Macaca mulatta: one gene and its partners. The protein of the gene in region 3 interacts with the protein of the main gene of each other region in a biochemical or structural test. Links are inferred from orthologs where the notes say so. Each region holds a gene or a part of one and is shown on either strand. Other genes may lie near its edges. The genes, in order: OTUD5, UBE2E1, UBR5, PCK1 and PAIP2.

The links.
Region 1: the proteins of UBR5 (region 3) and OTUD5 form a complex in vitro, tested with the Homo sapiens proteins (2 studies listed by BioGRID, with this or other methods). The link is inferred for Macaca mulatta from reciprocal best matches to the Homo sapiens genes UBR5 and OTUD5.
Region 2: the proteins of UBR5 (region 3) and UBE2E1 form a complex in vitro, tested with the Homo sapiens proteins (2 studies listed by BioGRID). The link is inferred for Macaca mulatta from reciprocal best matches to the Homo sapiens genes UBR5 and UBE2E1.
Region 4: the proteins of UBR5 (region 3) and PCK1 form a complex in vitro, tested with the Homo sapiens proteins (2 studies listed by BioGRID, with this or other methods). The link is inferred for Macaca mulatta from reciprocal best matches to the Homo sapiens genes UBR5 and PCK1.
Region 5: the proteins of UBR5 (region 3) and PAIP2 form a complex in vitro, tested with the Homo sapiens proteins (2 studies listed by BioGRID and IntAct, with this or other methods). The link is inferred for Macaca mulatta from reciprocal best matches to the Homo sapiens genes UBR5 and PAIP2.

The regions. Positions count from the first base shown.
Region 1 is NC_133426.1:49,030,960-49,037,337, forward strand, and holds the start of OTUD5 (OTU domain-containing protein 5), read right to left. Parts: upstream 4,339-6,378; 5' UTR 3,550-4,338; coding exon 2,956-3,549; intron 672-2,955; exon of another isoform or gene 598-671; intron 1-597. UniProt on the Homo sapiens protein: Deubiquitinating enzyme that functions as a negative regulator of the innate immune system. Has peptidase activity towards 'Lys-48'- and 'Lys-63'-linked polyubiquitin chains. Can also cleave 'Lys-11'-linked ubiquitin chains (in vitro).
Region 2 is NC_133407.1:24,676,382-24,682,661, forward strand, and holds the start of UBE2E1 (ubiquitin-conjugating enzyme E2 E1), read right to left. Parts: upstream 3,508-6,280; 5' UTR 3,376-3,507; intron 2,218-3,375; 5' UTR 2,185-2,217; coding exon 2,033-2,184; intron 1-2,032. UniProt on the Homo sapiens protein: Accepts ubiquitin from the E1 complex and catalyzes its covalent attachment to other proteins. Catalyzes the covalent attachment of ISG15 to other proteins. Mediates the selective degradation of short-lived and abnormal proteins.
Region 3 is NC_133413.1:112,597,939-112,602,730, reverse strand, and holds the end of UBR5 (E3 ubiquitin-protein ligase UBR5), read left to right. Parts: intron 1-2,117; coding exon 2,118-2,330; 3' UTR 2,331-3,289; downstream 3,290-4,792. UniProt on the Homo sapiens protein: E3 ubiquitin-protein ligase involved in different protein quality control pathways in the cytoplasm and nucleus. Mainly acts as a ubiquitin chain elongator that extends pre-ubiquitinated substrates.
Region 4 is NC_133415.1:110,363,535-110,369,061, reverse strand, and holds the end of PCK1 (phosphoenolpyruvate carboxykinase, cytosolic [GTP]), read right to left. Parts: coding exon 5,519-5,527; intron 5,389-5,518; coding exon 5,201-5,388; intron 4,530-5,200; coding exon 4,367-4,529; intron 3,928-4,366; coding exon 3,703-3,927; intron 3,615-3,702; coding exon 3,483-3,614; intron 3,056-3,482; coding exon 2,960-3,055; intron 2,754-2,959; coding exon 2,299-2,753; 3' UTR 1,665-2,298; downstream 1-1,664. UniProt on the Homo sapiens protein: Cytosolic phosphoenolpyruvate carboxykinase that catalyzes the reversible decarboxylation and phosphorylation of oxaloacetate (OAA) and acts as the rate-limiting enzyme in gluconeogenesis.
Region 5 is NC_133411.1:148,224,174-148,230,692, reverse strand, and holds the start of PAIP2 (polyadenylate-binding protein-interacting protein 2), read right to left. Parts: upstream 3,848-6,519; 5' UTR 3,822-3,847; coding exon 3,684-3,821; intron 3,042-3,683; coding exon 2,862-3,041; intron 455-2,861; exon of another isoform or gene 18-454; intron 1-17. UniProt on the Homo sapiens protein: Acts as a repressor in the regulation of translation initiation of poly(A)-containing mRNAs. Its inhibitory activity on translation is mediated via its action on PABPC1.

The DNA of each region.
Region 1 (6,378 bases), on a different chromosome or scaffold from region 3:
GGCGTGGTGGCGGGCGCCTGTAGTCCCAGCTTCTAGGGAGGCTGAAGCAGGAGAATGGCGTGAACCTGGGAGGCGGCGGAGCTTGCAGTGAGCGGAGATCGCGCCACTGCACTCCAGCCTAGGCGACAGAGCGAGACTCCGTCTCAAAAAAAAAAAAAAAAAAGATGAGGTCTCACTATGTTGCCAAACAGGTCTTGAACTCCAGGGCTCAAGTGATCCTCCCGCCTCAAGTGATCCTCCCGCCTCAGCCTCCCAAGTAGCTGGGACTACAGGTATGGACCACTATGCCCGGCTTACTCCCATGTTCTTATGGGGACAAGTATAAGAGAGGGACTGCAAGGGGCACACTGCAAGGTGTTTTTGAGTTACCATGGCAGCACAGGATGTTCTTTCTCTCTGTCGATGGAACCAGGGATGTATGGCTCCCTGTTTCTAGAGAAGGAAAGAAACTACCCAACCACAGAGAGAAGAAATAACTGGTCCTGACACTTGAGTACAGATGGCTTATCGTGCCAGAATTAATGATGGGAGGAAGGGAGCAAGAACAGGGAGCTCAAGACAAGGCTTGGGGCCCCTGTGAAGTACAGAAAGATTTACCTGAGCCAAGGGGAAAAGGAATGTGGGAGGAGAATTTCCCCAGAGTGGCGATGTCCCAAACCCCTTTCCTGTCCCTGGGAAGAAAAAAGCTTGTCAAAAGCAGTTCAAAACTTATTATATGATCTAGAGGTGAGAAGCAAGCATAGCTAGGTCAGGGAGAAACTCTGAATCGCTCCTGGTTTCAGAAGGGAGGCTCCAGACTCCATGTCCCCAGGACCTGACAATCTTCTCATAGAAAGGAGGAGGATCTTCTTGGCCCTGGCCACGAGGGAGCTCAGGATAAGGGGTTCATATGACCCTGAAGAGCATCCAGGTCCTTCTGTCCAATGGGAGAGGATGACCTCACGTTCCTCTCCCGGTACAGAAAGGAATCCCTGGTGTGGTAGGGGGAGAGCCTCATGCCCAAGTGGGAGCCAGGCCCCAGTCCCTAAGGCAAACGATATCTTGTCCCAGAGAGGAAGCTCGGGCCCAGACTCTTTTCCTCAGAATCCTACTCTACTCATGTCCCGGAAAGGAATTGGGAATCTGAGGCCCAAGTCCCCGAGGCAGGAAATCTTACATCCCTAAATGACCCCTATGACTAGGGTGTATGTATGTTGTCTGAGGTGAGGTGACAGTACCCTAAGGACAGGTTCAGAAATCAGGTCCTAAGGTGGGGAACAGGCCTTCGCACACCTGAGGTAGGATTCAAACCCTTGGAGGTAGACTCAGGACCCTGTTCCACAGGGATCCTTTATCCATGCCCCAAGGGAAGGGTCTCAGGGCTCAGGCGTCGGGGGAGGAGTCCTCCTGTTTCTCAGGGGTACACCTTAAGTTCCTTGAGGAGGAAGCTCAGACCTTACCTCTAGACACACAAGTCACCAGGGTATGTATGAGTCTCCCATCCCTGAAGGAAAGCTCAAGTGTCCTTGGCAGAGTGGGTCTCAGGCCCTTAAATGTAGGCAGAGATCTGTAGGGAGGCCCCAGACATGATCTCTGGGATCCCATGTTGCCCATGTCCCCTGAGGAGTAGTCTCAGGCTCAAGTTCCCAAGGCAAGGGTCATATGTCCCTGACAAGAAGCTTAGGCCCAAAGAGGGGAGGGCCTCAAACCCCTGTTACAAAAGGGAAAATGAGATACTGTATCCCCAAGGTATGTTTCAGTCCCTTATAATTGGGGTAAAAAGGTCACATATGCTTGTGGGGTAGGGAGTCTCGGACCCCCAAAACCACTCAGACACTAGTCTTAAGAAGAAGAATCTCCTAAGGCTTCACCTTGTCTGAGACCTTTGCAGCAGAACACCACGCCCCCAAAGAGGCCTCAGACTCGGTCTCTAAAAACCTCAGTCCATAAGCAGATAGATCTTAGGCCCTAGGATCCAACGCTGTGAGTCTTCATTTTCCTGAAGAAAGGTTCAGGCCCCTGGTGGGGGTGCTGAGGGCCCATCTCTTCTTACAAGAAGCTTAAGATCCTGAAGAGAGTCAGGGCCTTGTCTCCGAAGAGGTAGGTCTCAGCCACTGATAGGAAATGCAGACCTTTGTCACTCAGAAAGCGGATGAGTCTCTTGTACTCAAGTAAAGCTGCTGGTCCTTGGGTGTTGGTTTCGGTCCCTGTCCCCAAGGGCAAGGGAATCATATCTCCCTGCGAAAAGTCTTACATCCCTGGAAAAAGCTTAGAAGATCCCTGTCCTTAAAGGGTGTGTGTGTGTGTGTGTGTGTGTCTGTGTGTGTCAGGACCTTGATTCTACAATAAGGACTCTCAGGCCCCTGAAGACAGACTTAGGACCCTTGAGGTCTCAGGTCTGGCTATTCAGTGGTCCTGTGCCGTGTTACCTAGCGAAGCAGGAGAGGACTGTCCTACATGCAGAGTGTCTTAGACTCTTGAAAGGGCTTAGGCTCCTTGGGGATGTTCAGACCCGATCTCTGAGGTCTCCACCTTATTTGACTTTCCTGGAGGAGGAATCTCAAACTTCTATCCCAAAGGAAAAGAGCTCTTAAGCCACTGAACACAGACCTAGGTCTTTTGGAAGACCTGAGACTCCTGCTCAAGAGGGGCGCGATCCTACCTGTGTCTCTTGGAGAATTCCCACCTATTGGCCCTACAAGATGAGGTCCCAAGGACTGAAATGACGATTACAGACCCTAAAAGAGGCCTCGGATCCCATCTTTAAGTCTGCCACCTTATCGTAGACCTCTAGCCCCAAATCCCTGGAGGGGAGGAAAGAAGGCATCTCACACCCCTACCACCAGAGAAGACTATCAGGCCCAGTGAAAACGCCTAAATCCCTTGGGGCGATCTCAAACAGCCTTCCTTGAGGCTCTTCACAGTCTGGGGGTCCCATCTGCCGTAGCCGCCCACCCCTCATCCCGCAGCTCTTACCTGCTCGACAGTGGCAGGGTCCATAGCCTCGATGCGTGCTGCAGCCGCCTCATACTCGTCCTCACTGTTGTAGCCTGCGCCGACCTCCTCACGCTCGGGACTGCCCCCGCCAACCGCGCCAACCCCGGGAGCTTGACGTCGCCGCTTGCTGTGCCCAGGCCCGGAGCAGCAGCCGCCCACGCCTACGGCACCACCCACACCCACCACCACGCCCGCGGCACCCACACCCGCCGCCGCTGCGCCCAGCGCGTCGCCGGGACCGCCGCCGGGACCACCTGGGCCCCCGCAAGGAGGTGGAGAAGCCTGTTGTGGCCGGGGACCCGCCACTGCACCAGGCGGCACGGCCAGCGCCCAGCGATGAAGTGCGCCCGGCGGTCCTGGTAGCGGGCCTTGAGGCGGTGGCGAAGCTCGCGGACGGGCCCCCACGACGCCGGAGTCACGGTCGCGATCGCCGCCGCCCACGCCCGTGCCGCCGCCGCCCACGCCCACACCCCCGCCGCGCCGCGGCGCCGGGGGCAGCGGCCCGGGCGGCGGCGGCTCGTTGGCGGGGTCGGCGTCGGGAGGCGGCGGCTTCTTTTTGGGGAGTATAGTCATGGCTGCACCGCCGAGTACCCCCCAACAAACCCGGCGCGAGGCACGCCGGGAGAGAACCCGGATGAGGGGGGGCTAATGTAGTGCGCTAAGCACGACGGGAACGGCGAAACCCGGATAAAGGGATCGCGGCACCGGTTCGAGAACCCTCGGCGGCGGCGGCGGCGGCGGCGCGCGGGTCACGCCGGGAGGAGAACCCGGATGTAAAGTCCAAGATGAAGGCAGTGCGGCGAGTTTGTCGGAACCTTCTCTCCAAGTCCAGCAAATTTATTGCTACGCTTGTTCCGGCCTTCTGCTTCAAAGGAAACAGAACCAAAACAAGCACCTCTTCGCTCCGCCCCCTCGCAGGTTCTTGCACTACCGGGTGGGGCCCCGGGGCGCTGCGCACGCGCGCCAGGGCACAGCCCCGCCCCTTGCTCGGAAGTACGTGGGCAAAATCGCCGCCGCAGCCACAACAATTGCGAACACCAACCAATTGAGCAGCTGCGTGGGTCCTCGACGACGCCCACGGGCCAATCACAGGCGAGTGCTCGCCCTCCGGTGCCCTCCGTCTCAAATTTCAGTCAAAGTCGACACCCTGGTTCCCAGCCTTTCTCCCCGTCGGTCCCGTCTTGCTCTTCACTTTTCTCCCCGAAGCTCTGACTCGCAGTCGTCGGTACTGCGGACGGACAGCGTGGCCTGTCCCACGTACGACAGGAAAAACACCTCCCCTCCAGGCTTCCAACTTGAACGCTGTCAGCCGGAATGACTGGAAAACATCAACACTCCCAGAGCATAGCATTCCCCTGTAGCGTCACTTCCGGTCCCACCCACCTACAAATATCCTTCCGGGGGAGGCGGACACCGCTTCACCCCGGCAACAGCCTGAGTTCTGCGGTGATTGGCTAAAAGACGCCGTCACTCGCGTCATACCGACCAACCTTGGGACAGACAAGCACCGTGGGGACAGTGGTTGTTTGGGAAACAGACACGCCTTCTCTGGCACCACAGCACTCTCGCCCTCGGGTTGACCTCCCCGGCCCTATGGCTAGTGCGCAGGCGCGGCCCAGCCTTTTTTTTTTTTTTTTTTTTTTTTTTTTTTTTTTCCCCCCCTTCTAATCGAGACGGGGGTCTCACTCTGTCGCCCAGGCTGGAATGCGGTGGCGCGATCATAGCTCACTGCAAACTCCAACTCCAAGGTTCAAGCGATCCTCCCGCCTCAGTCTCCCGAATAGCTGGAACCGCAAGCGCGCACCACTACGCCCGGCTAATTTTTTTTTCACTTTTTTGTAGGGACAAAGTCTCGCTATGTTGCCCAGGCTGATCTCCACCTCCTGGGCTCAAGCGATCCTCCCGCCTCGGCTTCGCAGAGTGCTGGGATTACAGGCGTGAGTCACCGCGCCTGGCCAAGCCCAGCCTTTTTCTAAAACTGAGTTTGCTTGGGTCGATCGAGGTTTATGAATCAGCTCTGTCACCAGTCAGCGTCTCGAAATGGGGTTGGCAGAATCCCTGCTATTGAGTAGCTGGAGAGCTACACGCTAATTCTAGCTCTGCGCTTCCTGTCTGATTGATCTTTGTCAGTCATTTAACTCCCACCCCGTCCTCAATTTTTGTTATTGTTGTTTACTTTTTTATAGAACGCTTCACGTATTTGCGTGTCATCCTTTCGCATAGTGCCATGCTAATCTTCTCTGTATCGTTCTAAGTTTAGTATATGTGGTGCGAAGTGAGCACCCATCCTCAATTTCTATTCTATAAATTGGCAATGATAATTCCAATCTGAGGATCAGAGATTAATGCTTCTGAAGGGCCTGGTGTTGTGCCCAGCACATAGGAAGTGTTCAATAAAGTAGTCTGCATGGTGGTGCAGTGGAAGGATCGTAGGCTTTGGAGCCAGAAAGACCTCAGTTCCAGGCACAGATGGACCATTACCAACTGTATGATCTTGAGCAAGTCATTGTGTTGCTTTTGAGATTACCCATGTGTAAAACGGGAATGATAATGCCTGCCCAGACTACCTCAGGGAATGGTTATGGGGTTCAGATGAGCTGATGAACCAAGAAGGTATTTGGAGTTCACTTCCAGTCTTAGGAGACAAGCCATACAACAGGTTGACTGAAAGAGACCATGGGAAAGCTGTTTTGAGTATAGCCTTGCCTCCCTTCAGATACTAACCCTAGTTGAAGTTCTTCCCTGAAAGGTGTAAGTAATAAATGGGTTCTAAGTAGTGTTTTCTGCTCATGAGACTTAATGGGAGGAGGGGACTTTCATGTTTACCAGGCCTGTTGTGTTCATGGCTCTGTGCCAGATGCACATTATCACATTGAATCTTCTCATGACCATCTCACCCTAGCCCCATATATTTCACTCACTACACATCTAAAACTGAACTCAAGATAGTAATCATGGCTACCCTTCACCAAGTACTTACTATGTACCTAGCACTGAGTGCTAACAGCTTTGATGTTCCCTTTACCAGGGAATAGCACTCCCATCCAGCCGTTGTCCAAGCCAGAACCTGGGAGTCAACCTTGACTGCTCCCTCTTCCTCAACTCCCACATGCCTGTCAATCCCAAGTCCTGCCAATTCTACCTCCCAAATCTCTAGACTCTCCAATTCTACTGCCACTACTCTAGTCCAAGCCACTGTCCCCTACCACCTAAACTATTATAAAAGCCTCCTCCCTACTTTTCTTCCTTCCAGGACTGTTTCTCTATATCTACTCTCCATAGCCAGAATGATCATTCTGAAACACAAACTTCATCATGACTTTTCTGTTTAAAAGCCTTTAGAAGTCCCCACTATCTTTAGGATGAAGTTCAAAATTCGCGTCATAGCGTCAAAGCTTTTTG
Region 2 (6,280 bases), on a different chromosome or scaffold from region 3:
CTCTACCCACGATTTAGAAACCACTTTCCAACATGCAGTTAGCAGCCTGTTAGTCTGCCAATTCAGGCTTCTTTTTCACTCCTTCTCCTGGTGAATGTGCCCCTTCCAATTCTATGGGCAACACCTACCTTTCAAATCAATATACTTCACAGAACAGCCTCTATAGGGTCCCACTAACATCAATTTTCCCCATTCTCTTTCCTGGATACACTGTCCCTCTCCTTTTTTTTTTTTTTTTTTTTTTTTTTACCTTTTGCTATTAACCTTAGGTCTGCTTTAACACTAATAGCTACTCTTTCAGCAAGATTATCAAGGAGCTAAATTCATTGCAAAAACAAAACAAAAGCACTGATGTTAATTTATAGGTAAAATTACTATTTGTAGCTTCCCACCTTTCATTTTTCTACACCTACCATCTCTTTTCCAGAACTTCCAGATAAATTTTTAACTTGTTTAAAATAAAAGGACAAAGTATGTCTAGTGAAAAAAATCCCCCTCTCTGTAATTCACTCACAATAAAAGCAGAGTATTTTCTAGTTGATAACTGGGTCTTTACCCCCAAATATATTCATGTACACCAGGGATATCCAGCAAAATATAAAAATGCAAATTACCAAAAGCAAGTATCCCGGCTTGAGCACGTGAGGCCAAAAAGTGAATGAGGATCAAAGAGCCTAGAGGATTGAGGTGGGGGGCAGTGTTAAGGAAGGGCCTGTCCCAAGTGGGCAGAGTAGATGCCAGGTTCCAGGAAAACCGCACAGGGCTAATCAGTGAGGGTCAGTTAGGCCTCCTGAGAAGCTGTACAATCAAACCAAACCTATAAAAATGAGAACAATCTTGCAGAGGCACCTTGCCACTTAAGACCTCCACACTATTTTTAAAAAGTCACTCATTCATCAGCTCATGGTTAGGTCACCAAAACACTGCCAAGTTTTCAAATTACAAGTCAGGCAAAATGACAGAACAAACTCTCAAACCCTGACTTTCAGGCTCACTACTCAGTGGAGAGATCTAAAGTCTCATGTTCCACTTTATTTTAAAAATTTTTAAGACGGGTATCCCTATCTAACCCATCATTTGGACTTCTTACTATCTTCCTGGTTTGCCACCTTTTTAACAACTGCCTAACTCTGATAGCAGAAGGATTTATGAAAGGGTGTCTCAGGGCTCCTAGGAATCCACTAAAGATTATTTTAAGGGTCATGGCGATCAGAGGATATTACTGAAGGATGGCAGGAGTAACAAGTAGCTACCTCCAGAGCCTTAAGAGGAAAAGAATAAAGAAAAAGAGAGACTGCTTAAATTGAAAAAATAAAGCAACGTAACATTTTCACAGCATGAGGACAGCAAATAGCATGAAAAAAAGACAAGTTTCCCTGAAATTTGGTAAACTGAAGTTTTTAAAGAGAACAAAAGAGAACCACAAAAATAACCTAGAATAACTATTTTATAATCACTTACTGATTCATTCATTTGCCTCAACTCTCAGAAAAATCTCTTTAAATTCCACCATAAAACACGTCTTCACCTACTCAATTTTGTACCTGCTAATACGAGTTTTATTCCTTATGCAATTTGTGAAGAAAGCTCTATTTAGAAAAGATCATCCATGCAACAGGTGAGGAGAAGGTAAAATGGTCACAGAATTCATTTTGATGCAGTTGTCTGGGCTGGTATTAGTAATTAAGAAATGGGATGATGGCCTTGGGGAAGGTCACAGATCGACCATTAGTAGGACAAGAAATCTGAAATCAGATTTGGGGGTCACTAATAAAAGTAATGAAGATTCTTACAAACTTCAGCAAGAAATGCGAGAGGCAAGCCACAATAGCTGCATGTGAGCAATGATTAAAAAAAAAACAGAAGCAGCAATAGAGAAAATAATTAGGGCTTCCAAGGCCCTTCTTTCATTTTTAAGAACACATAAACCATGAGGAGCGTTTAAGCTATCCTCATTGGGAGGCAGACCAAATGCAGCAAGAGGCAGTTCGGAAAATAGGAAGCCTATGGAAAAAAAAAAAGAGTACGGTACCTCTTGGCGCTGGTGGAGAGGAGTTTCGAGTTTTTGCTCATGCTGACTTTACTCTCCTTCTTCTTGGGGGTGTTTGTTTCTTTCTCGGTTTGCTGGTTGGAAGACGAAGATGAGGAGGAGCTGGTGCTGGCCCTCGAATCGTCATCCGACATAGCGAACCCCCCACCCCACCCCGCAAACAGCCCCTGCAGGGGGAGGGAAACAAAACAGAAACACACAAACCATGCAGCCAGTGTAAATAAGGAACTCGGGTGCTGTCAGGAGGGCATTGACCAGGGGCGCACGCGGCCGCCCACCGCCCTCCACTCGCTTTTCAAAGTCTGCAGGCCCATTAAGGCTTTTGCAAATCGGACGCGGCTTGTTTATTTTTGGCCCCAAGTGGGGAACGCTGTGGGAAAACGGTCTGGAGCTAGGAGAGCGGCCCCTCCCTCGCCCCCCCCGGGGCTCTCCGCTGGGCAGGGAGGGAGTAGCCCGGGAGGCGAAGGAGGGCAGGGCGGGGGCGCGGGGCGCCACGGCGGGGCAGGGAGGGAAGGTCCCGGCAGCCGGCCGGCCTCGGGGCTGTTTTTGTCCGCTTTCCGGGGGTCGTGGGGTGGGGGGCCGGTGGCCCGGGTGAGAGACTGTGGGGCCACGAGAGGAGTTTGGCGAGGTCGGGAAGAGAGGAGGGGCGGGAAGGAGTAAGAGAGGAAGCCGAAACAGGGGGACGGAGGCGGGGAGCGGGTGCCCGGGTGGGGGAAGGGAGAGGCCGGCGGGGGGCACGGGCGACAAGGCCCGAGGCCCCCCCGCGCCGCGCCCCGACGCCCCTCCCGGCCTGCCTGCCTCTGGGCCGCCCCGCTCACGGCTGCGCGGCCGGGAGGGGGTCCGGAGCACACGCCCGATCGCCACTCCTGGAGGGGGATAGGGGCTGCGGCGGGGAGTGGGGGGGGGGGGTCGGCCTCCGCAGCGAAGAAATAACAATGAGCCCTTCCGCCCCGGAGGGGTTAATCCCCGTGAGCCCCCGCCCCTGGGGAAAACGGGGCTCCCCCAACTCCCCCCCACCCCCGCTCCCGGCCCCCTCGGTGGCCAGTGGGGGGCTCTTGGGGCAGCGCTGACAGTTCGAGCCACAATGACCCCCGCCCCCGATGCGGGCGGCCCCCGCACCCCAAGCGGCCCGGGGTCCCTGCCCATCCCCCGCGGGCGGGCCCCGGACCCCTGGGGCTCCCCAGCCCCTCTCCGCTCCCCCCTCCAGCCCCGTGCCCGGCGGCCCGGCGGCCCCGGCGGCGCGAGTCGGGGGAGGCGGCGAGGGGTGTCCCCGAGGCCCGGCGGCGCGGCCGGGGGGCGGCGGGCCGCTGGGGGGATCCCCGTACCTCTCTTTGTGTCTGGCTCCTCCGTGCCGCCGCGGCGGCTGCTGCTGCGGCTGCGGCTGGGCCTGGCCACTCGTGTCTCTCTCGCTGGGAGAGAAGCGGAAGTGCAGCAACAGCAACTATTAAACAGGCAATGGCTTCCCCCAGCCACACACGCTCGCACACACACCACTCCTCCGCCGCCGCCGCCTCCTCCTCCTCCTCCTCCTCCTCGCCCTCACCCCTCCCCCACCCGGCCCGGTCCCACCCACCCTCGCTCCCCTCCCCCTGCAACACCTCCTGGGGGTGCGCGAGGAAGACCCAGGAGACCCCAGGAAACCGTGCCCCCCCCACACCCCCACCCCAGCGCCTCCTCCGGACGCCCGGGAAGGGGGCGAGGGGTGTGAATTTTCTCTTAAGTGGTTTGGGAACCTGGATTCTGGGCGGGAGAGGGGAAGCCAATGGAGATGGGGTCGCTGGGAGTGATTGGAACTGGATGGAATAGGGGGGTCACGAGAGAAAGTTCTTTCCAGTGAGGGCTTTTGGAAAGGAGAGGGGTAGGGAGGTGGCAAATTGGTGGAAAAGATGGTAATCTGGTGGTGGCAAAGACTTTAGAGAATGCAGCGGGAACTCCACCTAAAAAGCGATTAAAGAGAATAAAAAAATCACACAACAGGGGTTTTCTTTGGACTGACACTTGCTTCTCCTTCTAGCAATTTACCTGCTAGGAGCAGAGGTCAGTTTAGGCACGCCTGTGAGAAAATCCCAAACCAGGAATTTTCTGCTCAGGTCACGCGAGGCACGTGCAGTTTTACAATGTTAGATTCTTCCAGTCACTTTTTATAGAAAGTGATGTGGTTTTATAAGAGTGATACAAAGGTTTTGGTGACAGGTAAAACCAACGTGTAACGGGGCTTGCGAATGTGAGAAATCACTGGGTATAAGCTATATACTACTGAATTAGACTGGATTTAGAATTTTTGGTGTCATTTTACATTAGATACAAGGTTTGGTTTTTGGAAATTGGATGGAAAGTTCTGGGGATCGCAGTGCTTTCGTTAGCTACATATAAATGCTATTCAAATAATATTTTTGAAATGATCAGCAGTTCTTCTGAATTGTTCCTTATGTAGCATTTTTGCCAAATTTGTTTTTTTAATATTAATCTGTCAAATTACGATTTAGTTTCTCACATATTTGTCATTTCAGTTGAAGGGAACTGAAGAGATGTGTGCCATTCAGATACACCAGTGCCACACATACAAGGTCTTGTACATTAAGGAGACAGCCTCAGATTTCCATAGCTCGCTCTAAATTATCTCATTCAAACTGCCATCATTTTCCGCGCAACAGTGGCTTCAGTTACTACAGGACAACACAAGATATATGCCCATGGCATATCCAGTAACCAGGAAAACAAGCATTCTCACGACCCAGCCGAACTGCTTCTTACCATCAACCTGAAACTCCAGCTTTATCAAGACTCATAAAGTAATTGTGCATGCTTCTTGCTCAATCCCTACCAGGAAACCTGTATCTGCCAGGAGTTGTCACAGAATAAGAAGTTCAAAAGCTGGGCGATATCTTCAGGGTCATAATTTCAGCCTCCTGCTTCCAGACAGAACTATTTCTCCACCACTGAAATGCATATAGATTTTGAAAAAGTCTCCAGACATAACCTTTCTTAAGTGTTTGGTTGCAGGAGTCGTGGTAGAGTATATAAAAATGATGACGTCTCTGCTGTGTATTTGAAACATTTTTTAAACTTCTGAAAAACCGATTGTATTTTTGTTCTGATGAAAAGGTGTAAATTCAGGAGAAAACAATAAGCAGATGAAATAAACTCAGGATGAAGAAAATAATCTAAAAATAGTTATTAAAATTGAAATTTCCTCCTATGAAAATTTGGATTTCTGATACTTAAAAATATATATCCACATGATGAATACAACCAGTAAAGTCATGTGTTATAAAGACAAGAACTAGCAGAGATCACAGGAAAATAAAAGGCTTGATTTGCTGAAGTGATCAAGACAGTAGCTGAATTTTTTCTTTAATATTGGTTTGCATAAATTGAATACCAGCTATAATAATAATTCTTTTGAAACAGAACATGATATTGATATTTTGTGTTGCGTTACTGATGCTTGGGTTGGACTGATTCCTTGTGAAAGAAATCATGAAATCTAACGGCTCCTCCTATATGGAAAAGTGGTTTCCCAACCACCTGTATGGAAGGTTTCTGGCCCTCTTTTGTGTACCATTCCCTCTAATCTCCAATACCAGCTAGCTTAGTTTAGTGCTTTATGGTTTTGGCATGACCTGATGAGAGGGAATAAAAACTTTAAAATGTTTAGAAAAGAATCCAGTCCTCTCAGAAGACTAATCTTTATGTCAAATTATTTTTAAGACCTGTATACAGCTGTCTTAGAGGAAAAAAATTCATACACAACTTTCTATCTCTCCTTGTTATTAACTACAAGGCCTAGAAAGCTAAATTGACCTCCCTGAGCCACAGTTCCCTCATCCATAAAAGGCAGGAATACCTGTGCTCTACTGACTGGCAGGGTCAAATGTGTATCTGTAAATAAGGTGATTTATTAGCTGTTATGCAAAGTAAATTATTAATAATTCCACTCGAGTGGAATTTTCTTAGGACATGGATTTGGGGTTTTTTTGTTGTTGTTGTTGCTTTTATGTTTGTTTGTTTTTTTTTGTCACCAGGGTAGAAAAGAAGACATGGGATTTTTATAACCTAAAATTGGTGAAAATATAAGAAACCTTCCAGAAGAAACATACAGTCAATCACAGGATTTTATGCCTAGAAGGGGTCACAGGAATCACAGGATTTTATGCCTAGAAGGGGTCTAAGATATCTTCTAGTTCATACTCTTCACGTTACAGATAAAGAAATCAAGGCAAAGAAAGC
Region 3 (4,792 bases):
TACACCACTCATGGAAATATTTTAAAATGATCAGATTTCTAGATATATCCTTTATTTTATTTGAATAAGGGGGAAGTGGTTACTTGTGCAGGAAAGAAAAAACTTGCAGATTCCCAGTTACCTTCATATAGGCAAGAGTTTATTTTGGAGGTGGTGGAGGGAAGGAGGGGAACTCATCTTTACATGGCTCTTAAGTGTATTCTAATATTTCTCTGCTATGGTGAGATAGGTTTGTTCAGCAGTCCTAACTGCCACCCAGTTCATTTCTCAGCTTTTAGCCACCCTGGTAATTTTGACTTAGTTTGTTCACCAGGTAGGTTTGATATAATTGGTCAGCATTTGACTTCCCCAGTCTTGTGGCTGTTAAAGTTCCCACTAGTGTCATATACCATAACTGTCCCTGTTGGTTTCAGGATCACCTAAATAGCTTAAGTTCTGCCACCTTTAGTCAGTCTTTAGATTCAGGGCACCTTGTTTCCTTAAGACAAGGGCCATATCAAGTCTGTAAGAACCACCAAAAACAGAAATAGAAATGATTGGCTATCCGGTATAAGTTCTAAGTTATCTGTTTTAATCTATTCCCAAGTTTTAATTTTCTGCCGTTTTTAAACCAGTATTTCCTCAGTCCAGTCAGCCAACTTAAATCTCATGAGTTTCTGCCTTCTACTGAAAGAAAAATTTGCTAATGACTCAATCTTAGAAAAAAGAAAACCTTCTATGAAGACCTCAGAATTTCCTGTCAACAGCTTTAATTTGTGAACCTTAAACTCTTATTGAAAATCTGTGTTTAGGGTGTAAGCAATATATCATGGTATCTTCCTCCCCCTTACCCTTCTCCTCTTTTTGGGAAGTCATCCTTCACATATTGTTGGTTTCATCCTGATGCATCTAGAGGACATAAGAATGGGGTTTCTGAAACAGTTCTCCCATGAATTAATTAGTCCTGCAAATTATAGGTTTCCAGAGTTACTGGGTAACGCTACAGTTTATTTCCCTCTTGGAGTGTATAATTCACTAGTAAAAGTATTTCTCTTCTTCCAACTTCTTGGAGATCCAGCAGTGAGGTCATCTACCCTGGTTAACCACATTCATCCTTGAAGAAACACTTTACATTAAGCTTGTTTCTTATCTATGAAATGAGTGGTTTGGATCAGCTTCATCTCCAGAGTACCAGTTTTCTATTTCTTTTCAGATTTTATAGATCCTGATACTTAGGTTTTCTCTTTTTTTTCTGTCCCTTTATATAGAATTCTAGATGAGCTTTCCCATGCAACTGTGCTTCAGGAAATCATAAGTTTGTTTAGGTTTCCTAGTCATTCTAGGAAGTTGGATATACTTCATTGTTAAATTGTGCGTTTTAAAATGATTAGATTAAAAAAAAAGCTTTTCCTTAAGAGAGAGAGACACATGCATATGTATGTATGAAGGGATGGATTGATGAGGAATGTTACATGTTCAGTGAAATATTTCAGGGAGGCGTATCCTTGGTTAAGTTAAAAAGCGTAAGTTAACATTTACTGAGCATCATTTACACTGTGTTGCACAAAGTTTTATTATAGATATATAACTTAGTGTTAACATGGCTTATTGCATGAATTTTGATGCATAGATGTTCCCCAATAATTACTATTATAAAATGATTCCGTATCACAGTGTAGCAGTAAATACTTTTTTTGCTTTATTATTTGCTTTATTATTTACATTATTTTGCTCCTTAATGCAAAATAACTTTTTAAGATAACCTGTGTGAGTTTTGAACCTAAGACCATATCTTTTGTTTGGTAGCCTTTTTTCCACTAATAGACAGTTTATGGAATTTAGCTGCAAGAAAGGCTCTTAGAAACCATTTAGTCCAACAGCCTCATGTTACAGATGAAAAGACTGAGGCTCTGTAACAGAAAGTCACCTTTTTTTCCTCTACTCTGGACTTACTTCCTTGGGGAAAAAAAAAACAACAAAAACCTGTCTTGAGGTATGAATGATCCCTTTCCTTTTTAGTATAAGAAAATATATTTAAAACCCAATTCAAAATAATATCTCCTTTCATAACAATAGGGCTTTGTGTATATATTGCCAGAGTTGAGAGTTAAATATTAACCTGTTAAATTCCTGTTTAGGTTTACTTTTGGACATCAAGCCCATCATTGCCAGCCAGTGAAGAAGGATTCCAGCCTATGCCCTCAATCACAATAAGACCACCAGATGACCAACATCTTCCTACTGCAAATACTTGCATTTCTCGACTTTACGTCCCACTCTATTCCTCTAAACAGATTCTCAAACAGAAATTGTTACTCGCCATTAAGACCAAGAATTTTGGTTTTGTGTAGAGTATAAAAAGTGTGTATTGCTGTGTAATATTACTAGCGAATTTTGTAGATTTTTTCCATTTGTCTATAAAAGTTTATGGAAGTTAATGCTGTCATACCCCCCTGGTGGTACCTTAAAGAGATAAAATGCAGACATTCCTTTCTCAGTTTATAGCTTAAAGGCCTGAGGAGCACTAGCAACATTTGGCTATATTGGTTTGCTAGTCACCAACTTCTGGGTCTAACCCCAGCCAAAGATGACAGCAGAACAACATAATTTACACTGTGATTTATCTTTTTGCTGAGGGGGAAAAAATGTAAATGTTCTGAAAATTCACTGCTGCCTTTGTGGAAACTGTTTCAGCAAAGGTTCTTGTATAGAGGGAATAGGGAATTTCAAAATAAAAAATTAAGTATGTTCTGTGTTTTCATTTTAACTTTTTTTATGGTGTTTAATTTGTGGTTGGCTGCAACTGTGTATCATGTATATGGAACTTGTAAAAAAGTTCGACATTCAGATCTTAAGAGATGAAATCACTTTTACCTACAAAAACCACTTTTATTGCGGTTTGACTGCATTGAGCTCTAGGATATTAAATGATATCACTAATATTTTGCATGTAATTTGCTCATTTGAGTGAGGGCACTTTTTTTGTACATATGATGGGGCCAATGCACAATACTTTTATCACAATCAACTTTTTCTTTGTATCCCTATTTCAACGAGCAGTCAGTCAAGAGGTTACTGCACTTCAGTTCTAACTAGACATTTGTACTAAGGTATTTCAGTTATGTAAACTCAGCCTGGGCACTTTCTGATAACTGTAAAATGTTTTATAAGATCATGATTATTGAAGATACATTTTGGAAAATTTTAAATGTTCGTGAGCAGCTTAACTACTTTTGTATCTAGCCTTTTTTAAGTATCTTGTTACATTTACTTTTTTAAATAAAGAAATTACAGAAGAAATGTCAAGTAACATTGAAGAAACAATAGTTTTTATTTATGTAGTTGTACATTTTTAAACTAAGGGCAATACACTGACATGGTTATGTGCATAAAAATTTTGATTTAAAGAACTGGAAGTTTATATACACCTGGACTATAAGAAACAGAAGAAAATCAGTCCACATTTTACAGTTAGCAGAGAATCCTAAATGGCACTGGCCTGGCCACCTTTTCTTTTTACAAATGGGGGAAGTGAAGTGTGACCCCTTACTTGGTATAGGAAGTTAACTTACACCTAATAACTGACAGGTTTTTTTTTTGATGACCCATTAATTATGTAGCCTAGGATTAATATCCCAAAATTACTCTGGTTTAAGTAGCTTTATTCAGTGGCATAACAACACTGTTTTCTTCACTAAGTCTTCAGTGAAGTGACTTAAAACAGTCACTTTACATATTAAAAATGAGGAGAGCAATTCTCTGGAATCTCTCAGTTCCTTTGTAGGACTTCCGGCCTTGAGGATAGTCTTCATGTTCAAAGGCACTATGCTTTTATTATATAACTTCCTTCAGAAGACTGAACCACATGATATTCTCAGCCCTGTTAACACTAAAAATATTTAAAGCTGAATGATAGTAGTGACTCATTGTATTACTTAAAACTTATATAACACGCTGTATTAGATGTGTGTAAATTAGCCAAAGGTTATTTTACAAAGTGAGACATTGGTTTTTATGTCTAAATGCTATTTCTGAATAAATGAAATAGTAATTAGATCAAGAGCTGATTAGCATCAATGTGTTTGAAAGATATAAAACTTATATATCACCTTAACCTCTGTATGCACATGATGGGATTGATAAAATATTAAATGAGAACAAACTAGGTATGATTAGGACATTTGAAACCCTAATTGTGAATTTATTTTTAATAGTTACTGAAATGAAAATATTTAAAATAATGCACAATGTCTTAAGTCTTCCTAAATCAAGATTTTGGTTAAAAAATACTTTTAGTAATATTAAAAACAGATTTTTTTTTTAAGTAAATCATAAAATGGTTCTAAATGTAAAATAAAGACATGTAAAATAAAGTTCTCTTTTGGTCTTGTTTAGTGTTTAAATCTAACAATTGAAAACAAATTTAGGAAGAGAAGACCAAGGATGAACTTTACTGAGTGTTTTCAGAGTTTGCTACTACTATTTTTTTCCCTAAATCATCTGAATACCAAGACTACCCAGAATAATGGATAACTGGGGCAGACTTGAGAGGGTATTTTAAAGGAATGATTTCACTAGTAGCTGCCCCCAAACAACATCCCTCCCATAAAGCTACTATTTTTACATGTTTAAAGGTAGTCAGCAATTCCTATATTTAAACTCAAGTTGAGATAATCCCTTGAGGCAGTAGTTTCCATGCGTCTGTAGTAAGATTCAGTTGTAGAGTCTGTTAATGCAGATTCTTAAGCATTCCTCATCCTCTTGCCTCCTTTCTGATTCAGTGAGTCTTCGGTAGAGGCCAGAAATCTTCGTT
Region 4 (5,527 bases), on a different chromosome or scaffold from region 3:
TGAAGAATGAGCTCATAGTATCCTGTTTATTGTAGACAGAGGTCCCCGCACAGAAACCAGGATTTGGAGACAGATGGAGCACTCAGGAGGCATGGCTTGGGGAAACTGAGTCAGGAGCCAATGGCATGTATTGAGTCCTTTTGGTCCCCTGAAAACTCTTATGCTGCGCATGTAAGTCACCACCTCTAGGCTGTCCCCCAGACCTGCAGGGCCTGCTGGCAAATGGTCCAACATGAGGCTGCTTGGCAGGTGGGTGACGCTGTGCAGGAGGGGAAGGAATTTGGGGATGGCCAGTGTCTTTGCCTGCTGGGGGAGTGAAGAGTACCAAAAGCCCATCATATGACAGTGGGGCACAAGGCATGCATTTTAACAAACTTTATCCTGGTGGCCCCTTTCAGGGGTTCAAGGAGCTGCCCAAAGGCCCCCAAGGGGTGGGGAAATGGAGGCCAGGTGGCCTGCACTCTGGACTCCCTCCCCAGCCTCAGGTGGGCTGCCTTGAGCTCTGTCTCCTTTAGTCGTGGGACTCTGAGTCAAGTACATGTCAAGAACGTGTTCTGCAGTGAAAAGGAGAAACAAGTTTGAATGCCACTGATTTAAACTAATACAGCAGATAGCATTGAATTCCACTAAGTGGTTTTTCCCATCAGTGGTTTTGATGTTAGAACAAGCCAATGAGTCTGGAGCTAGGACTCTCAGCTCCTTAATGGGGAAGGAAATCCTGGCAATTTCTCAGCCCCAATAGGCACTCCTGGCCTCAGTTTCCTCGCCTGTAAAATTGGGGTGATCTCGGCTTCACCTTCCATGTGAAGCCATCGTAAGGAGCAGAGGAAGTGAGGAAAAGAGGCAAGTTTTCCAGTTGAGGAGACTGGAGGGGTGGAGCGTGACATGAGAACAAGCCTGTCCGCTGGGGTGTGGTAGGGGTGAAGCCAATTTCACAGCCTGGACCCAAGAAAGAAACTACAACTTGAAGATAATAGTATTTACACAGAATGAACCTGTAATATAAGGTTTATGGTTTGTTTGTACCGTTCTGGAATATCCAATAAACACTGGGAGTAGAGGAGAGCAGGTGAGGTTCAAGGCAGAGCTGGGGTCCAAACCACCCACCTCTCTTCTCGGGCTGCCCATGGTGTTGGCATGATGTCCAGGACACAGAAGGCGCTCAATTAATGCTTGCTCAACCCAGATCCTGTCAGCTTTTCCTTCTCAAGAACACTTGTCTTCCCCACTCCCCCGCGGGGATGACAGTTGAGAAAACTGTTGCTTTGAAGAGTTAAAAGGCAAAAGCCTATGAAACTGTCCACAAAGTAATTTTTGTGGAAGCCTAAGCCCCCTCCAGACCCAAATTGTCAAAAAGCAGACATTAAACCTTCCCAGTCCAGCCACAGAAGCCTCACCATCTAAAGGTTTGTAGAATTGTTAAAGGGCGCCAACTAGTGGCTTCAACAAATTCAGAAAACCCCAACCACGGTTCCCGGCCTCATTCCTCCCCATCTGCTCCTTCCTTCTCCCTGGGACCAGACAACCCACCCGCTCTTCAAGTGTGATTCTGAACGTCCACACCTTCTTGGGGAGGGGGCAGGGATTTAAATCACAAGATGCTTAATCAGAGTTCACTCTGCTTGGTAGCTCAAATAAGAAAAACCGAGCAAAGCAAATCCATCTTTTCTATAAAACTTTATTTTGTAATTTTTTTCCAAGAAGTAGTAAGGGGGAAATATTGCAATTATATAAAGGTAAGGAACAATGGTGTATAAAAATAATTTAAGCACACTTATTAATAACAAAGCAACTTTTTTTCAAGGAAAACTAGTAGGTCATCTTGCCCAAGATTTTTCCAAAGGTATTAAATATATTTTCGATAACAGTACATACAAATACACATACACAAATATACCACACAGACACATGTGGACGTACATGCACACACATATACACACAGACATATATATACAGCTCAAGTATTTTTTGGTGTGCATTCTAGCTAATCCACATAGCTAAAGTGAAAAAACACTAAAAAGATCAAATGCCTGAGTAACCTTAAATTTGAACAAACTATGCATTGGGTGTGAATTTCTGGAGGCATGCCAAGATTTCCCTTCTCATTTTCATTAGCTACTAGCTGGTGTTCTGTGGTTCTTCCCCTTAAAAAAATCAAAGTGTGCCTTTCAGATCTGCGCACGGCGGTGATGATTATTATGGTGGCATCAATTTGGGAAAACTTGCCCTCTCTCGCTCCTATCGCACCTTATGGATGGGAAGGGGGATGATTTTAAAGGTAAAGCACTCAGGCTCTGATTACATCTGGCTTATTCTTTGCTTCAAGGCAAGGATCTGTCTCTCGATTTCACAGGGGAGGTCAGCATTGACCTGATCCTCCAGATACTTCTCAATGTCTTCCACCTCCTCCTCCCAGAATTCCTTGGAGATGCTGAAGAGCTCCATCACGTTGATGTGCCCCAGGCCTTTCAGGTTCAGGGCATCCTCCTTGGGGATGTAGCCTATGGGTGTGAGCTTGGCACCGGCTTTCCCATCGATCCGGTTGAACATCCACTCCAGCACCCTGGAGTTCTCTCCAAAGCCTGGCCAGAGGAATTTGCCTTCCTTGTCCTTCCGGAACCAGTTGACATGGAAGATCTTGGGCAACTTGGCTGCTGGGTGCTGGGCCATGCTAAGCCAGTGGGCCAGGTATTTGCCGAAGTTGTAGCCAAAGAAGGGCCGCATGGCAAAGGGGTCGTGCATGATGATTTTGCCTGTTAAACAGAGAGGGAGCTTCCATTGGTAAATGATGCTCTCCTAGGCAAAACTGGCCCCATTGATTGTTGACATCAGCATGCTTTGTTCTCCTCTCTCTCTCTCTTTCCCCACACACAGACACAGAGAAGGAGAGAGACATAAGAGTGAAGAAGAGCGCTCTAATCCCACTTCTCTGTGGTTTCAAATCAGGACTTTGACTTACCTTTATATTCTGCAGCTGCTGTGGCCTCTGATCTCATGGCCGCCCCCACAAAGACTCCATGTTGCCAGCTGAGAGCTTCATAGACTAGAGGGACACCTTTAGCAGGAAAAAAAAAAAAAAAAGAAACATTCATTAGAGGCTTTAAAATTCAGCCTCTACAACCAGTGGTGTTATTCACAACATGGAAAGTCATGGAAAGACAATAACTTTGTAATCGAGCTAGTTTTGCATTCACCAAGCTAAACTGCAGAAAACTGCTAAGTCAAGGTTACGTGACTGAGGCCACAAAGTAAAAAGTAAAATTTGATCAAGCTGTGATAGATTAAGGATTCAGAAAGGTTCCAGGTGACCAGAAGGGTTCTACATTTGAACTTGCCAATTATTCTGGCTCTTTGGAAAGGAAGCTCAAGAAAGGAAGCCCCTGGACACCCTCTGACAAGGTCATGGAAAAGCAGAGATTTCACAGATGCCCTTCGGTACCCAGCACACCCATGTTCCCAGCCTAAATGAACGAGAACCTCACCAGCAGGTCTACGGCCTCCAAAGATAATGCCTTCAATGGGAACGCCTTCCGGAGACTCCCAGGCAGCATCAATGATGGGGCACTGGCTGGCAGGGGTGCAGAACCTCGAGTTGGGGTGGGCACAAGGTTCCCCTATAAGATGGAGAAAGGCCCATGAGTGCCTGGCTCAAACAGGCAGTCCCTGCAGCCCAGCACACCGAGGCCTCTGGCGGGGACGCACCATCCTCTGGGCTCCATTCCTTATTCTTCCAGGAAGTGATGGTGACGCCTGAAGCTAGCGGCTCATCAATGCCTTCCCAGTAAACGCCCCCTTCGCTGGTCTCGGCCACGTTGGTAAAGATGGTGTTCTTCTGGATGGTCTTGATGGCATTGGGGTTGGTCTTCACAGAAGTCCCAGGAGCGACACCGAAAAAGCCATTTTCTGGATTGATAGCCCTTAAATTACCTGGAGATTTAAACCAGAGAAGTAGTAGTGGGTGCCAGGCAAAGCAGAACATACACTCTTATATCTTGCCGGACTAATTTCTATGCCAACTTCTCAAATCTTTTTTCCCTCCCTAGAATGTACATTTATCTCTTTTCATCCAAGCATCATATGCAACTTTGAGATGTTTACAATTCTTGCTTCCTCCACAATTTTCCACCAATACCATTTAAACAAATGTATGTATGTAAACAAACAGCAACATATGGCCCAGTTTCAATCCAGATTGAATATTAAATTGAAGAATTCTTACAGAATACGTATTTCTAAGGTTTGGCCAACTCTGGACTAACAGAATTTAAAAATCCAAACACTGGATCAAGGAGAACGTGGCATGTTTTGAAGGCCGATAATTCACTTGAGTCCAATCGTTACCAACAGTTGGGTCTAAAAGAGTCACCTTGTGCGTCAAACTTCATCCAGGCGATGTCATCCCCAACGCACTCCACCTTCCACCCGGGGAGGCTGGGGTTCATCATGGCCAGGTTGGTCTTCCCGCAGGCGCTGGGAAATGCAGCTGCCAGGTACTTCTTCTCACCCTCGGGGTTAGTTATACCCAGGATCTGTTGGGGACAAGGTTCATTTTTTTTTTTTTTTTTTTTGAGACAGAGTCTGGCTCTGTTGCCCAGGCTGGAGTGCAGTGGCCAGATCTCGGCTCACTGCAAGCTCCGCCTCCCAGGTTCACGCCATTCTCCTTCTTCAGCCTCCCGAGTAGCTGGGACTACAGGCGCCCGCCACCTCGCCCAGCTAGTTTTTTGTATTTTTTAGTAGAGACGGGGTTTCACCATGTTAGCCAGGATGGTCTCGATCTCCTGACCTCGTGATCCGCCCGTCTCGCCCTCCCAAAGTGCTGGGATTACAGGCGTGAGCCACCGCGCCCACCGGGGACAAGATTCTTTATTGTGATCTTTGTTCCCTTCTCCCCGAGGTTGGTACTTCAGCCCAGAGGTTGGAATGTAGGCCCTCAAGATCTATTTCTTCAGGTATCAGTGCAAACAAACATTCCCAGAATCATGAAGTCCAAAGGATCTCGATGGTCCCCTGGTGTTTGGGGCCCTTCAAAAGTGACGTATACGTGTGCACTAATCATTACTGGTGGGGTTTCCCAATCTGTCTGGGAACCTGCATGCTCGGAAAGGTGTACTGGGTCTTGCTGGATGGGAACTGTAATGCTGTTTGTTTCTGCCACCCCCCGGGCCTCTCATCTGCACGTCAGGGCTTCCTGCAGACTCACCAGCATGTGCTCTGCCAGCCACCCTTCCTCCTTGGCCAGCCGACTGGCTATCCTGAGAGCAAAGCACTTCTTCCCCAGCAGCGAGTTCCCGCCGTACCCACTGCCAAAGGAGATGATCTCTCTGCGGTCAGGCAGGTGGGCGATGAGCGTCAGCTCCGGGTTGCAGGGCCAGTTGTTGACCAAAGGCTCTGTGAACAAGGACCCCTCCCACGTCAGTGCGCCAGGGCTCTGTTTGGGGGTCCCCGAGGCACCCGCTGGGGTTTGTTGTTCAGCTTTCTTTTTTTATTTTGACTTTTGATTGTGAAATAATACACTTACTTTGTAAAG
Region 5 (6,519 bases), on a different chromosome or scaffold from region 3:
TCTTCTAATTCCCACAGGAAGCATGGTATACAACAGGAAAAGAAAATGACATGGGGAACCAGAAGACCTAAGTCTGAAATCCCAGCCCTGCCCCTAACTAACTTCTATGTAAACTCAGATAAGTCATCTTTCTCTGGGATTCAATTTTTTGCATCAATTAAAAAAAAAAACGCCGTGGGTGGGGGGAGATAGGCCAAAGTCTGAGTCTTAGAGACTCGTACCAATGTTATGCTATGTCTCTAAATCTTTACTCTCCTAAGCAGACCTGTCAGCATCTAGGAAGAACACCTAGAAATTTTCCTCTGTGGTATTTTAGACTGCAAATTGATAAAAATAAAAAGAAATGAGGACAGGTTCCAGGGCCTGAAATGTAGGTATGCTGGAAGGCTTTTACATTGAATTTGACCCTACATCACTTCAAGACTAATGCATAATATTAAACATGTTGAAGAAATAATTTTAGTTTCGTAATTTATACATAGCAGTTTCTTTGGACAGGATATAGTCTCCATTCCAGCAAGGGAAATAATGTATCTATACTTTAAAAGTATGAAGTTTAAGGAAAAAAAGCAGCATTCCTGTTCTCTTTGAGACAGGGACTCGCTCTGTTGCTCAGACTGGAGGGCAGTGGCACAATCACAGCTCACTGCAGCATCGGCCTCCTGGGCTCAAATGATCCTCTAGCCTCTGCCTCCCAAGTACCTGGGACCACAGGCCGGTGCCACCATACTCAGCTAAGTTAAACTTTTTGTAGAAATAGGGTCTCCCTTTGTTGCCCTGGCTAGTCTCGAACTCCAAAGTGATCCTCTCACTTTGGCCTCCCAAGGTGATGGGATTACAGGCATGAGCCACCATATCCAGGCACAGTGTTCTTAAATGAACTATCTTTCGGAGCAACAGAAGAATAAGAATGAAACAAAGTAGTATCACATAGACTGAGAAGAACAAACCAGCTTCTGTACTATGGAATTATACTGGGTCCTGATTAAAGCTATATATTATGCTCAGCCAAGAGTGTTACTCTGCAGGGTAACTGGGATTATTTACGGTGACTAATGTAGCCATAAGTCATCATACCCCACAGACTATTCAGATCATACGGCTGCTCAAATGGGTTACCATCACTTACTGCAACAAAGGCTATACCACAATGTAAACTTCAGTGCTCTCTACACCATTCCTTAGAAGAATGTTTTCCAAATGCCCAACTCAGGCAGGTTGGCTGTATAATAAATCCTCTGTAATCCTTTTAAAAAATTAACATGCTCAGACAACTGAGCATGTTGGGATGCAAGTAAAGAACTGGTTTTTGTATTTAATGCTTCATAGGTAATTACAGTGTACAGATTAGTTCAGTGGACCCAGCCAGTTCTCACTAGTGCTGATGTTTAGTTGTAACAATTTTCCCCTCTTCCCCAATTTTTCTTTTTTTTTTTTTTTTTTGAGAAGTCTCACTCTGTCTCCCAGGCTGGAGTGCAACAACGCCATCCTGGCTCACTGCAACCTCCACTCCCCGGATTCATGCGATTCTCCTGCCTTAGCCTCCCGAGTAGCTGGGATTACAGGCATGTGCCACCAGGCCCAGCTAATTTTTGTATTTTTAGTAGAGATGGGGTTTCACCATGTTGGTCAGGCTGGTCTCGAACTCTTGACCTTGTGATCCACGTGCCTCAGCCTCCCAAAGTGTTGGGATTACAGGCATGAGCCACTGAGCCCAGCCAAAATAAGATTAAAGAGCAAAACTTCTCCATCAAGCTACTTTTGTATAGGCAAGTAACGTGATAATATTGTGTGTGTTTTTAAATTATTAATTCTTTAGGACATTTAAGTACCCTAGGGCAACATCAGGACTAAAAGCAGGGGCTAGAAGTCCATTTAAGACTAGCTCCACAGTGTTGCCAGAAGTGATTCCATGTCATGAGACTCTGCTTCCATCGTAAAAAGCAGCACAATTTCTTTTTCCTTTTTTTTTTTTTTTGTGAGACAGAGTCTTACTCTGTCACCCAGGCTGGAGTGTAGTGGCACGATCTCGGATCACTGCAACCTCTGCCTTCCAGGTTGAAGCAATTCTCCTGCCTCAGCCTCCCAAGTCGCTGGAACTACAGGTGCCTGCCACCATGTCCAGCTAATTTTTGTATTTTTTTTTTCTTTTTGAGTCAAGAGTCACTCTGTTGCCCAGGCTGGAGTGCAATGGTGCAATCTCCACTCACTGCAACCTCCGCCTCCCAGGTTCAAGTAATTCTCCTGCCTCAGCCTCCTGAGTAGCTGAAATTACAGGCATGCACCACCAACCCAGCTAATTTTTGTATTTTTAGTAGAGATGGGGTTTCACTATGTTGGCCAGGCTGGTCTTGAACTCCCAACCTCAGGTGATCCACCCACCTCGGCCTCCCAAAGTGCTGGGATTAAAGGCATGAGCCACCATGCCCAGCCAATTTTTATATTATTTATTTATTTTTTTTAATGGAGTTTCGCTCTTGTTGCCCAGGCTGGAGTGCAATGGTACGACCTCGGCTCACCGCAACTTCCATCTGCCAGGTTCAAGAGATTCTCCTGCCTCAGCCTCTTGAGTAGCTGGGATCACAGGCATGTGCTACCATGCCCGGCTAATTTTGCATTTTTAGTAGAGATGGGGTTTCTCCATGTTGGTCAGGCTGGTCTCAAACTCCTGACCTCAAGTCAACCACTTGCCTCGGCCTCCCAAAGTGCTGGGATTACAGGCGTGAGTCACCACGCCCAGCCAGAAGCAGCACAATTTCTGAAGGGGAAGAAGATGCAGAATTCTTAAATAGATGGGAACTGGCTTTTCCACTTATGCAAAAGTTGCACTAGGTCTTAAAAGATGAAAAATAAGTTTTTACCACAAGATCTTCCAGAGAAGAGCCATCACTGATAACAAGGTCATTAAACTGGTCTTGGATTTGGTCCATAGTTTGTGGGAGATCTCGAGCTGGAATAAACCATTCATGCTCTTCTTCCTCTTCCAGCATTTCTTGGAAACAGCGTTCAATAAATTCTTCTTCCCATAACTCCTCTTCTATCTAGATTTATAATAAAGATAATTTGTAGCACACTTGGTAGATATCACTAGGAATGGCTTAAAATATCTTGAACTAAACCATTTAAAGGCACAAGGTCACACTTTCTTTTCTGCTTCTGTGCTAAGGAAAAAAATGCTTACCATAATGACCTGCGAAGATCTGTTTAGGGTTTTTCTGTTTTTACTTTTATTAGTAGAACATTCTTTTTTCCATTGAGAGTGGCAGGGAAGAAGTAAAAAGAGATGCCTGTCTCTTTTTTCTGTGCCTGTCTACTCCTGACTCCTAAATTCTCTTGACTTTCACAGCAATCTGACTGGTGTATCTGACTGGCGTAAGGCAGTGGTTTCCAAATCTGATTGCTCACTGGAACCATCTGGGAGCTTTGAAAAAGTTTTCCAGGCTCCACCCTCATCCTCCTGATTCAGAATCTCTAGGGTGGGACCCTGAAACAAGCTCCCCAGGTTATTTCCATAAGCAGTTAAGCCTGGTAGTAATCAGCAGCCAAATAAGTAGGAGTGGTGGCACATCAGTCTACATACTTCATACATAAAGGACAAGATAAACACATTTCACGGACAAGTACAATCATATTGAGGGCCGGAATGGACTATGAAAAAGAACATGTTTGTACAAAAAACTAACTTGTCTGTTGAATTCTTCTTCATTTTCCATCCACATGTACTCTGCAAATGGATTGTCATCTTCATGAGAATGACCGTTAATAATCACATCTTCATTGATGATGCTTGGGCTAGTACTGCTGCGACTTGGATCTTTCATGGCTGATGTTGGTTGTCGTTTTTAACCTTAAAAGAACAACACCACAGTTAATTTACTTACTTATTCAGGGTTTTTTCTTTTTGAGACAAGGTTTCACTCCATCCAGGCTGGAGTGCAGTGGTGTGATCATGGCTCACCACAGCCTTGATCTCTTGCCTCAGCCTCCCAAGTAACTGGGACTACAGGTGTGCACCACCACACCACCCAGCTGAATTTTTTTTATTTTTTGTAGAAACAAGGTCTGTGTTACCCAGGCTGGTCTCGAATTTCTGGGCTCAAGTGATCCTCCCCACCTCAACCTCTCAAAGTGCTGGGATTATATGCATGCGCCACCGGGCCCAGCTGATTCTTTCAGTTCTTAATGAGCATCTGTTTATTAGCAGGCATCATGAATAGGTGTTAGAGGCAGATGATACACGGTAAGTTGCACAATTGGAAAGCTTCATATTTTTTTTCCAAATGATTTAATGTTTTAATAGGAGAGGATAGCTAAAACATCTAATGTTTTCCTTTTTGTTGTTGTTTTTTTTTTTTGAGATGGAGTTTCACTCTGTCACCAAGGCTGGAATGCACTGGCATGATCTTGGTTCATTGCCACCTCAACTGCCCAGGTTTAAGCAATTCTCCCACCTCAGCCTCCCAAGTAGCTGGGATTACAGGCACGTGCTACCATGCCCAGCTAATTTTTTGTATCTTTAGTAGAGACAGAGTTTCACCATGTTGGCCAGGCTGGTCTTGAACTCCTGACCTCAGATGATCTGCCTGCCTTGGCCTCCCAAAGTGCTGGGATTACAGGTGTGCACCACCGTGCCTGGCCACAGCTAATGTTTTCTGATAACAGTAAATGAAGTACATCAGTTGCTTACATGGGACTCTCCAAACCATCCAATTTATATTTTATATTACATATCACTTGCTTTATAAAGCAAGCATGGTCGGCCGGGCACAGTGGCTCATGTCTATAATTCCGACACTTTGGGAGGCCTGGGCAGGTGAATCATTTAAGGTCAGGAGTTTGAGACCAGCCTAACATGGTGAAACCCTGTCTCTACTAAAAATATAAAACAGCACTTTGGGAGGCCGAGGCGGGTGGATCACCTGAGGTCGGGAGTTCAAGACCAGCTTGACCAACACGGGGAATCCCCGTCTCTACTAAAACTACAAAATTAGCTGGGGTGGTGGTGCATGCCTGTAATCCCAGCTACTCGGGAGGCTGAGGCAGGAGAATCGCTTGAACCTGGGAGGCAGACGTTGTGGTGAGCCGAGATCAAGCCATTGCACTCCAGCCTGGGCAAAAAGAGTGAAACTCCATCTCAAAAAAAAAAAAAAAAAAAAAACTAAAAATGAAAAAATTAGCTGGGCATGGTGGCACATGCCTATAGTCCCAGCTACTCAGGAGGCTGAGGTGGGAGAATCACTTGAACCCAGGAGGTGGAGGTTGCAGTGAGCCGAGATCGCACCACTGCACTCCAGCCCAGGCAACAGAGTGAAACTCCACCTCAAACAACCACCACCACCACCGCCGCCGCCGCCAAACACAGTCTGGAAGACTGAGGCATCAAGTCATCAAGTGATTAAATGATGAAGAGCAAATTCAATTTTTAAAAACTGACTTCAAAAAGTCCAGGGATTGAAAGTGAAAACAGATTTTTTTTTTGAGACAGAGTCTTGCTCTGTCGCCCAGGCTGGAGTGCAGTGGTGTGATCTTGGCTCACTGCAAGCTCTGCCTCCCAGGTTCACGCCATTCTCCTGCCTCAGCCTCCCGAGTAGCTGGGACTACAGGCGTCTGCCACCAGGCCCGGCTAATTTTTTGTACTGTTTTAGTAGAGACGGGTTTTCACTGTGTTAGCCAGGATGGTCTCGATCTCCTGACCTCGTGATCTGCCCGCCTTGGCCTCCCAAAGTGCTGGGATTACACACGTGAGCCACCATGCCTGGCCTAAAACTAACAGATTTTTAATAACCTCTCAGGTTCTTCAGGTATAGTTCTGATCTCTCCTTCATAGCCCATTCTGTGTCTGCTTTTTCTCTAGGTCCATGTCAAGTTCTGCCATGTCTGGATTTCCTCACTGTACAGTGAGTTTCAGGCATCTAGTATCTTTTTTTTTTTTGAGACAGGGTCTCATTGTGTCACCTAGACTGGAGTGCAGCAACCTCCGCCTCCCAGGCTCAAGCAATTCTCCTGCCTCAGCCTCCAGAGTAGCTGGGATTAGAGGCGTGTGCCATTATCACCCAGCTAACTTTTGTATTTTTGTAGAGACTGGGTTTCATCATGTTGGCCAGGCTAGTCTTGAACTCAAGACCTCAAATGATCCACCTGTCTCGGCCTCCCAAAGTGCTGGGATTACATGCATGAGCCATCGCGCCCAGCCCAGTCCAGTATCTTTTCATCTGAGTATAAGTTGTATCAAATATAAGCCTGATGTCTTATACTACTCAATAGCTGATAACATGATCTAACCTAATTGATACATTGCAGGCTAAATATTTGAAGCACAAGGTTTCACATTCTAAAATATTCCAATTCATTAAGTTTGAAATCGCTAAAAATAGGTTTACATAAAACAATTCACCTGTACATAAACTCAAGCAGTATTGTGACTTGTGCCAAAGAAAGGTCTAATGAGGTCTGCTTAGTTCAAATTTATCATAATCAAGTAAAATACTAAATCTAAAATCTCCTACTGGAAATATATGT